Linked DNA regions of Daphnia pulex. The protein of the gene in region 1 interacts with the protein of each later gene in a pairwise test. Links are inferred from orthologs where the notes say so. Each region holds a gene or a part of one and is shown in the gene's direction. Other genes may lie near its edges.

What was found. The genes of interacting proteins can lie anywhere in the genome.
Region 2: the proteins of protein LTV1 homolog (region 1) and 40S ribosomal protein S3-A-like interact in a two-hybrid assay, tested with the Caenorhabditis elegans proteins (2 studies listed by BioGRID). The link is inferred for Daphnia pulex from reciprocal best matches to the Caenorhabditis elegans genes T23D8.3 and rps-3.

Annotation. Positions count from the first base shown.
Region 1 is NC_060017.1:1,279,380-1,285,159, forward strand, and holds protein LTV1 homolog, read left to right. Parts: upstream 1-2,279; 5' UTR 2,280-2,433; coding exon 2,434-2,436; intron 2,437-2,522; coding exon 2,523-2,693; intron 2,694-2,764; coding exon 2,765-2,932; intron 2,933-3,001; coding exon 3,002-3,095; intron 3,096-3,168; coding exon 3,169-3,301; intron 3,302-3,369; coding exon 3,370-3,562; intron 3,563-3,627; coding exon 3,628-3,786; intron 3,787-3,858; coding exon 3,859-4,054; intron 4,055-4,123; coding exon 4,124-4,341; intron 4,342-4,411; coding exon 4,412-4,525; 3' UTR 4,526-4,573; downstream 4,574-5,780. Other genes in the region: dmX-like protein 1, read right to left, coding at 5,007-5,120, 5,183-5,284, 5,343-5,566, 5,639-5,666.
Region 2 is NC_060025.1:408,117-412,795, forward strand, and holds 40S ribosomal protein S3-A-like, read left to right. Parts: upstream 1-1,908; 5' UTR 1,909-2,021; coding exon 2,022-2,054; intron 2,055-2,258; coding exon 2,259-2,342; intron 2,343-2,402; coding exon 2,403-2,638; intron 2,639-2,702; coding exon 2,703-2,890; intron 2,891-2,952; coding exon 2,953-3,140; 3' UTR 3,141-3,232; downstream 3,233-4,679. Other genes in the region: general transcription factor IIF subunit 2-like, read left to right, coding at 1-84, 149-273, 334-477, 537-653.

The DNA of each region.
Region 1 (5,780 bases):
TTCACTTTTTTGTTTCGTCGTGAATATTGCGCTGGCGTATTTCCATCGTGTTGAGCTGCATTACGTTCGTTTTTTTTCTGTTTCTTTATTTTAATGGTCCTCAACTGTTGGATCATGCTGGGATGCTCAACGGAATCAAGGACGTGCGCTACAAATGAAGGGGAAAAAAGTGCCAGTTTGGTCCGGTTCGATTGTATTACAACAGTTGTTATTCGCGTATTTCTTCAGAGTCACATAGCGAAAAGCTTACCGTATGATATAACGTGACAAACGATCTATATACGTATATATACATTAGATTGCTCTTTGTAGAGTCAGACCAACAGAACAGAAGTGAAAGTTTTTTCGTGAGATGTATCTAAAATTCAATCGTGTCATTGGAGCTCTGCTATGCGCGTCGTCACGTTTCTCTGCCGAACCTTGGAGTCTTAGATCATCACACTGTCTAGTACATAGGAGATCAAGTCACGGTCATCTCACAGAAATTATCATCAGCAATCTAATAAAAATACAAACAAGTTACGACAAAATCCCGCTGTGCAATGCACGAAAGCGAAGTTAACAGAAGGTTACGTAACAAATGTCGATTATATATACGGCATCACTTCGTTAACTAGTTGATACCATTTATTTATTAACTGTGTCTTGAAAGCTGAAAATACTTCACTTCATTGGCCATGAAGTTCAGATCCCTAATTGGTTCTAGACTTCTTCGGAAACGGCTTCCGTCGCAAATTTGCATTCGGCTATTTGAATTATTGATCCAGTTTAATGAGGCATAAATTTTTGAAAGTCTTTCAAAGTAAAGACGGACCCTGCGCTCCATGCGATAAATACAAAATATGAATGGAGCAGCATAGTACATTAAGAATGGAACAAATTTAACAAACATTTGTTTTTTTATATAATGAAAGAAAGTTGTTTAAACAAATGCCATTAAAAAACGATGACCAATTCTTCGGCTCTTCTCAGGCGTTACTTGGCATTAATTATTTCCTCGTCGTCCCTTTTCTTAGCTGTCGGTCACTTTATTCGGCTGCCAAGAAATGACTTTTATCTCTGAAAGGAAAGCGTAAGAGTAGCTAGTCACCACCGAGTTCTGTTCTGTCATACAGCACCACATAAATTAGTAAAAAACCACTAAGTGTACTGGTGTGGCTTTTGAAAATGGGTCGCTCGTATTGTCGTTAGTAATTCATAACAATCTATCAAAAGTGGTAAAAGGACTGTGTTTAGTTACCCGAAGGGTTACTGGTCAAAGTTTCGTTTGCAGTATGGTTTACATGGGCACCCTCAGTTCTCGTAACACTACATAGATGGATGCACTAGTTTTTGGCAATTATTGATTGTAATCAACAATTTTATTGCATTTCAATGGCAGTAATCGGTAGCTTACAATTTTTTACATCTATTCTGAAAATTTGGCTGCAATCGATTCAGGCATTTGATCAAACGGAGTTCTGGTTACTTTTTGACAGAATTTCAATAGCTGTTACAGCAGACGATAATACAGAGACATGTGACAGGGATATAAACGTAACGTGACAATCGACTACTATTGTATGATAGAATAGAAGTCACTGTATGTTATCACCGAACGCTATCAATCTCCAGTAACAGAAGTGCTGATAGGTAGTTACTTAAATTTAATTTTAACAAGATCCGGTGTGACGTGGGGTGGTGGGGCGAAGCCTCCGCCGCACCAAAGTCACGCCTTACCCCTACGCCGCGCCATATCATATTAGGTTTTTTTGGAATTTAATTTTTATTTAATGTTTGGATAGAAACATGCGGAAATATTCTTTTAATCTCTTTCTCGATTTTTGCTTATTACAATCTTCCGGAAACTAAGGGCATAAATTTTTTTTAAATGTTATTAATCCATCTTAATAATAGGCCTACCTTTATAACGGAATATTTTTATTATTCTATAACTATTCTATAACTCTGTCTTTGTAAAACTATACCAATACTACTATACCAACTAGAATACCCTTAACATTCCCTTCGGGTACCTTGCGGCGTACGTACGCTGCCTACAGTTTTTGTTCCACAATTAACTATTTTTCGTTCCGTGTAAACGCCATCTCTGTACGATATCCAAAGTTCGTGTAATAATTCGTTGAAAAATGAAATTATATCACCAAATATGATTGTGAATGTTTTTCGGCTAACCGTATTCGATTTTTTTTTACTCCACTCCACCACAATAACAGATAAATATCAAAATTTACGCCAAATTTGCAATTAAAATAAAACATTTTAAATCTGGCAATCACTTTTCACTGCTCTGTGTTGAGCAGACGAATGTACAGGTTTTAGAAGCGTGAAGGATTGTGGTCTTGTACTTGCATGGTACTTGTTTGACATTTTTTGTGAAGTCCGTTGATTTATTCAGTTAACTACGATTAGATCTATTTACACTATCGGAAAATGGTACGTGAAGATTCTTTTAGTCACATTAATAACTTTTTGAAAATAATACCATGATAACATTTCGTTTTGACATCTCTTTTTGACAGCCCAAAACAAAGAAATTTATAGACAAGAAAAATGCAGTCACCTTCAACTTGGTACATCGAAGTCAAAAGGATCCTCTTGCCGCTGACGAGCAGGCTCCTCAAAGAGTTCTAGTTCCAATTGCTCTGAAACCAGAAAAAAGTACTGAAATCCCTGCATCCTCTAAACCAAAGGTATGAATAAATCAAAATAAACAAATCAAAATTAAAGGGAAGTGTGATTTATAAAAGGTTTTAATATTCAGGATCCTGCCCAACAGAAAGAAGAACTAGCTAAACTTGGAATATACTTTGATGATGATTATAATTACCTGCAGCACTTGCGTGATGTTAAACAAACTGCTGAATGGGAACTGGCAGAAGATTCTAAAAATTCAAGAGTCTGGAAAGCACCAGTTGCCAGAGGACTTTCAGTAAGGATCTATAGGATTGGCTGTATGATAGAACTATTAGTTGACATTTTTTTTTCTATTTGTGGTTAGGACCATCCCTACAAACTTGCCCTGCCCTCCTCAGTTTTCCAATCAAAAGTGGAAGAAAAAGTTGGACTACTAAATAGAGCTGCTCCCCACTCAGGTTTTCATTTCTTTAAGCCTTGAATTTAATGTCAAAATTTGAGAAAGGATTTAAAAGTTACTGAAAATTGTAGGACCGAGGCCGGACTTGGACCCAGACATAGTTGCAGCTTTGGACGACGACTTTAATTTCGATGATCCTGATAATGAACTAGAAGATGACTTTATTGCATTTGCTAATGGAGTACCTTCTGACGTTGAAACAGAGTATGTTCTCGAGACAATTGAATTGAATTTGGATTTGCTTATATTCATTTTATAATTATGATTAATAGCGAAGATGATGGCTCCAGTGGTGACGATGAAGAAGAAAACGACGACGTATTGTGTGACATGCGAAGCGACTCAGGACAACGTTCACCCGATTTCAATGACGATAACAAATCGCATTTTACTGAATATTCGATGACCAGTTCAGTTATCAGAAGAAATGCCCAGCTCTCGTTACTAGACGACAGATTTGAACATGTATTCTGATTTGACCACTTTCATTTGATTCAAAGATTACAGTATTTATGGATTTTTATTTGTAGATGATGGCTCAGTATGACGACGAAGAAATGGGCGCTTTAGATTGCGAAGAGATCGAAGGACACATCACCTTACAAGACGATGAAGTGTTGAAATTGGCTGCGGCCTATGAACATGACAAGACAGAAGGCATCAGATTGGGTCGTGAAATTGGCAAAGTAGTAAGTTGCAGTTATCTTTTATTTATTCTCAGGTTGTGAATATCGACGTCATTCTTGTGAATCGAATTTTAGGCAAGAGACGAGGTGGAAGGAGCTGTAGAAAGGTACTTGGAAAAGTACCAGAGCGACGAAGAAAATGACAGCAGTTCAAGTGAAGAAGGTGAACAGGAACGTAAATGGGATTGCGAGTCTATCCTGTCAACTTACTCTAACATTTACAATCATCCTAAACTCATTTCTGAACCACAGAGTTCCAGAATTATTAAAGGTTCCAAGAAATTTAACTTTGGTGTCCATAAAGCTCAAATCTAATTAAAAAATTTCGTTTGATTCGTAGTGTGTCCCAAAACAGGTGTTCCCCTTAATGTCCTGGGGAAACCCGGTCTGACCAAAAAGTTCTTAGATCAACTCGATCAACAAACTGAAGGGACCAAAAAGAACTGTGTCGAAACGCAGTCCATCATCAGCACATTATCGACTATATCCATTCGACCAAAAGATGAAACACCAGAGCAGAGAACCGAAAGGAAGCGACTTGTAAAAGAATATCGTCAAGTAATAAGCGACAAATGTTTCGTGTGTCAGTTTTCACTATTAATGTTTGAATTTTATATTTTCTTAACAGGAAAGAAGAAAGGAAAAGAAAGCCAACTCGTTAGCTTTCAAAGAAGAAAAGAAACTACAAGAAAAACAACATATAAACAACCGTAAAAATGTTAGTGGCATTAAATTGTTGTAGTGGTTTTTTCAAACTTCGAATACATCGCCAGATGTACATTCACCACGACGCATTTGTTCGGAGGTTTTGGAATTATTTGTAAACGGTTCAATACATCAGCACACACGTAACGCATTTGTATTCCACTTGCTCGACCAAACGTGCTAGCGACATACAAAATAGGAGGAATGACATATTACCAGCCGTTCAGAATGTTGTTAGTAAAGTGTGTGGTGGTGTGGTGATGGTTTTAAGGAAGGTAAAGGTTTGGAAACATCGAGCGACGACGCTGAAGAGTGGAATGGTTGACAGGTAATAGCATACTAAACGTGACTAGCACAACGCAATCCAATTCTATAAGTAATCTGAACAGCCAGATAAATGACATGTATCAACGACATCCTTAAAATATTCAAGGGATTCGAGTAAATCGAAATATTAAAAAAATTTAACTAAACGTTTAGCCATTACCCGCAACTGCCCCCATTAAACATTTGTTTTTCTAGTAAAGAGTTGAGACAGCGGTTTCTCTACTCCCCACATAGGGTAATTGACGAAGCTTCATTGAACCATCAGAGCCACAAGAAAAGAGTCGTCCTGACGTGTCCAGATGAATCTGTTAAAAATTGAACAGCTATTCAGTAATTCCCACACATTTACAAAAATGTAAGGACATACTTGATTTACGCCATTTCCTTGCCCCATGGAACGGAAAAAGGATGATCGTGAATGTTCAGCAGGAAACGCGTAAAGTAAATGTTGTGTAGCAAGGCTCCAGACCTTTCAGTGAATACAAATCATTACAACTTCCATATTGGTTGATAAGAACCTTATATACCTTGATATCACCGTCAGCAGATCCAGTGGCAAAGAATTCTTCATTGGGATCTAACGCCATGCATTTGATCGCAACAGAAGAATCATGCGCAGTGAACTTGTGACGAAGTGTTCGTTGTCTCAAATCCCATAAGCAGACGATTCCTTTGCGGCCAGCCGATATCAGGAGCTGATGCTGAGACGCATAGAGCAAACTGGTGCCTCCGTTTTCGTGACATACAAATGCTGCAGGGAAAATCATCAGAAGAGTCGTTAGCGATATTCAAACCTTACTGACGTTAAAAGGAACCAACTTACAGTGAATAATTGCTTTGCGTTGGGGCATTAGGGTGTCCCATAAAACGACGTTGCGGGACTCTGAACTGTGACCGGTTGTGGCCAAAATACTCGATGACCCCAGAAACACAAAATCTGATGTCCCCTTGCTGTGACATTGATG
Region 2 (4,679 bases), on another chromosome or scaffold:
CAGCCACCGCGAACTCACCTATGGAAACTGAGAAGATCATATTTGAAGGCAAAGTTGCCCAGAAGCTTGAATGTAGACCAACAGGTGAGACCAACAAAATAAAGTTCCTAAGCTTGAAGTGAGCATTAATGATTTTTATTTTCATCAGCAAATGCAAGTTACATGAAACTCAAAAGGGATTCTTTGATTAAAGCTGCCCAACCTACAAGAATTGTGAAGCAATTGGATCGAGTGGTTCAAAGTTACAAACCCATCTCTGACCACAAGCATAATGTAAATATAGCAATTCTCGTCTATTTTTGGTACATCATAACCTTTTATTCCTGATTACAGAAAGAATTCGACGAAAAGAAGAAAGCTGAGGGTAAGAAAGCCAGAGATGATAAGGGCAAAGTTATGGACATGCTGTTTGCAGCTTTTGAAAAGCATCAGTACTACAACATCAAGGACTTGGTAAAACTCACCAACCAACCTGTGGTAAGAAAAAGTTGTTTTCATACAAGCATTTGCACTTTTAAAACCCTCTGCTTTTATAGACCTACCTCAAGGAAATTTTGAAGGATGTTTGTGTATACAATTTGAAGAATCCTCACAAAAACATGTGGGAACTGAAACCGGAATACCGCCACTACAAAGATGAAGACAAGGACTAATAAGTAAACAGTCCATTAACTTTCTAATAAAGCTGTGATTTTCAGAAAACTACTAAACAGCTCTTGGATGCACATAACTTCAGATAACTCAAATGGGTTTCAACTGCCCTTGAAATTGTTCGATAAAATGTTCTCTTAGGCTACAATTTTCCCTTCGTCTAAAAATTCCCGTGCTAACAAGTGTGTGGTCCAATACATCGATGCGAACTTGAAAATTTTACCAATATAATTTATCCCAACCATATCAGGAAGAAATGATTTCATGAGCGAGTTCAGTGCGAAAAGTAGGCTTATGTGCTAACGAGGAACCCCTTTTAAACAGAATCGTAAGATTGTAAAAACAAGAATCAAGTAAAAGGTTACATGTTAATATTTACAGCTTTTCATGGTACCCTACTTACAGTTAACATTATATTATCTCAGTCAAAAGCCATAATCTATTAGAATAGCAACAGCCTGTCTCTTGATGAGATTCATCATCCAACCATGATTCAACCAACAATTTAACGCTGAATATAGTTATCTACAAATTAATTTGTTTTAATTTTCACTAGTTACAATTTGCCAGAATGTAATTTTAAAAATTGTTTATTTGTCAATATAGATACTATAAAATACACCAAACAGAATTATTTCACCAGGAAATCTGCAACTTCAGGTAGCGATGTGAGGGTTCCTGTACAACAACAGAATAAGAATTAGCATTTCAACATCATAGAAAACCATTTAAAGCACACTTCAACAAATTATCCACAGTGTGCCTCAGTGCCTTCAACATCAATTACTTTATGTTACTACTATCAAATGTTTTAATTCGGTTCAATCCATGTGTTCCAAATAAGGAGACAACGGTAGATCAGAATAAATTTTAATTTAGCATGTCCGCTTGGCCACTATAAGCTAAGTAGAGCTAGTGTGGTTCAAAGGAATGCAAAATTCAGTCTTAGTTGCATGAATTAAATAAGATATTTACCGAAACGAATACAAAACTGGCTAGCAGCAATCAAACCAGATGGGGGAGCTTCACATGCTTCAAATGGCGTTTTACAGTCCTACTTATAACATTTGATTTCGTCCAACGCTGTTGAATTTCGGACTTCCTGTCGGAGTTGACAGATGGAAAATCTACAATAAAACTTTTGAAATCTTTTAAACAAATATGAACCAATTAAACTTGTTTATAATTTATTATTTCTATAATGATAGTTGAAAAAATTTTAAAAAGCAAACTGAAATAAATTATGTGGGAAGATGAATTCCGAAAGAGGGGGTTGAGAAGGAGGCAATGCTGGGCTTGTCAACTTCGTCTACAGAAAAAGTACTGTGTATTCCTTCTTCCTCTCGTAGACCGGTCTTAAAATACGTGAAATGGCTACGGCTCAGATCTCGAAAAAACGAAAGGCAAGTAATTCTTTCAACACGTGAATCTTTTTCATCTTGTTCTCACATATTCACCGTTTGAATATTGAGGTGTTATTGATGAAATAGAACAGTTTCTAACCAGGATGTGAAAGATTTTGGAGGATAAAATTCGTCTTGGCTTGACATGTTTCTATTGTCAGTGTGCTTGAGTTTACCTAATTTTCTTATAATTTTGTATTACAGTTTGTGGCGGGAGGTGTCTTCAAGGCTGAATTGAACGCCTTCTTGACCCGTGAATTGGCCGAAGATGGTTATTCTGGAGTTGAGGTAATTCTTGTGAAATTATTTTGTTACTGTGTAGATATCTAAAACCCATTTTCCTATTAGGTGCGCCTTGCCCCCACTCGCACAGAAATCATCATTCTGGCTACACGTACCCAGAATGTTTTGGGTGAGAAAGGCCGTCGCATTCGCGAGTTGACATCTGTTGTCCAAAAGAGATTTGGCTTCCAAGAGGGAACTGTTGAGCTCTATGCTGAGAAGGTTGCTACTCGTGGCTTGTGTGCTATTGCCCAAGCTGAGTCCCTGCGCTACAAACTCATTGGTGGTTTGGCTGTTCGCAGGTAAGCTAATTCAATAGGCTGACGTTTAAATAGTGCATTTCTGATGTAATGTGTTGTTACACAGAGCTTGTTATGGTGTTCTCCGTTTCATCATGGAGTCTGGAGCTAAGGGTTGTGAAGTTGTTGTATCTGGCAAACTTCGAGGTCAGCGAGCCAAGAGCATGAAGTTCGTCGATGGTCTGATGATCCACAGTGGAGAACCCACCAACGTCTACGTCGACACTGCCGTCAGACACGTCTTGCTTCGCCAGGGTAATTTATTGTGCATTATATTGACTTGGGAGGAATCTTTCTAATCATCTTTGTTATTGTAGGAGTACTTGGTATTAAGGTTAAGATCATGTTGCCGTGGGATCCCAACAACAAGAACGGACCCAAGAGACCTTTGCCAGACAATGTTTCCATCCTGGAACCTAAAGATGAGACACACATCGCAGAGGAACTTAAAGCAGCCAAGATGTCCGACATCGCAGCAGCACCTCCCACCCAAGCTGCTGCCTAAGGAGTGTTTCGTCTATTTACTGGGCTGGTGTCGATTAACTACCGTAGTTTCCAATATGAAACGAGAGTTAAATACATGCTTTGCCTGGTCAAGGTTGTGTTTTATTTATTATCCTACACCCTACTTTTCTTTTTACGCTCAAATTAAACTTACCAATTAATTTAGGTAATGAAGCAAGTCCAAGAATTGATGTGTAAAAAATCTTAGTAAATTAGAGTAAGGTCTGCGTGAAAAACAAGGTTTTCCAACTACCGCTGTCGGCGTGAGACTTATTTCAGTAAGTGGTTCTGCAATTGAACGTGTCGGTTGCTGAAAATAGTTCTCGTAGAATAATTGTGCACTACATGCCGACAGTGAACTTCAAAATACGGTTCAATGCAGAGCTGCTGCAGTTTGTTAATTTATAATTGTTTTATCGTTATCCATCTCATGAAGAAAAGTTAAAGTGAAATGTTACCGATATTGTCGATGTTGTGGTTACTCGTGTTACTGGAAAGGTAAGAACTTTTCTTTAATTTTCTTAATCTAGTGTATTTAAGAGCTTACGTGAGCATTGACATTTAAGCATTTTCTTGGTGATTCAGGATGAAAGCTAGACATTACTTGATACAATGGGTCGTTAAACAACTTTTAATCCGGGGGTTTCACTAGTGAGGCATTGAACTAAGCATATGGTCTTGTTCTGAAATTATTACTGAACAAAAAAGTAATAATAAGCTTGTCGTTGGCGTGATCACGTGATGACTAGAATGTTGCTCAAGTTGGTTTGATACTGCTTGTTTTTCCCAAGTCAGATATCTGATCTGCAGAGCTCCCCAAGCTATTGAGAACTGTGGCAAGACTAGTGGGCTCTTGGCCAGTGAAAGTTCTTTCTTTTCAACCTGTCTCCCACTACCAAGTTTCTTTTTCGTGTTTATGATGCCAAAAACGTAAAACAGAAACTTCGTGAATCTGGACCCTAATGCATTAATTCGCAGACGAATATTAAAAGAAACTACAGGAATGTTTTCTGTTAGATGACATGGCAATTTTTCGGCTCGTGAATTTAGACGCGCGGCTGTGAAATCGAGCAAATGCAACAAATTGTATTTGAATATTGAAAGAAACTGAACGAATGTTGGATGACAAGGCATTTTTTTTTCTGCTCCGTGACAGAAGAAAAATTATTTGAGATGCACGCGGTCCTATTGTTGTTGCTAACCAAACTTCCCCGGAAAAAATATCCCGATTATAAAATGAGAACATGAGAAATAAGAAGTTATGTCATGTCTGTAATGAATGTAAGTTTTCCTGGCGTACACATAGAGACTTGGTCGTATTGACATAGACATAGAACAACTAATAGTACCGACAACGTGCCAAGAATAAAAATTTGGGGCATAATTTATAGGTGGAATGAAGGGTATTCGTAGCGTATAAAAACTAATCGCCATTTTCTTACATATTAAATTGGAGTCAGCATTGAAAATCGGTTGAATGCATTCCATTTCTTTTTCCAGAACTCGGCTGCTTTTGTTTAAAAGTCACTTGGTGTAATAA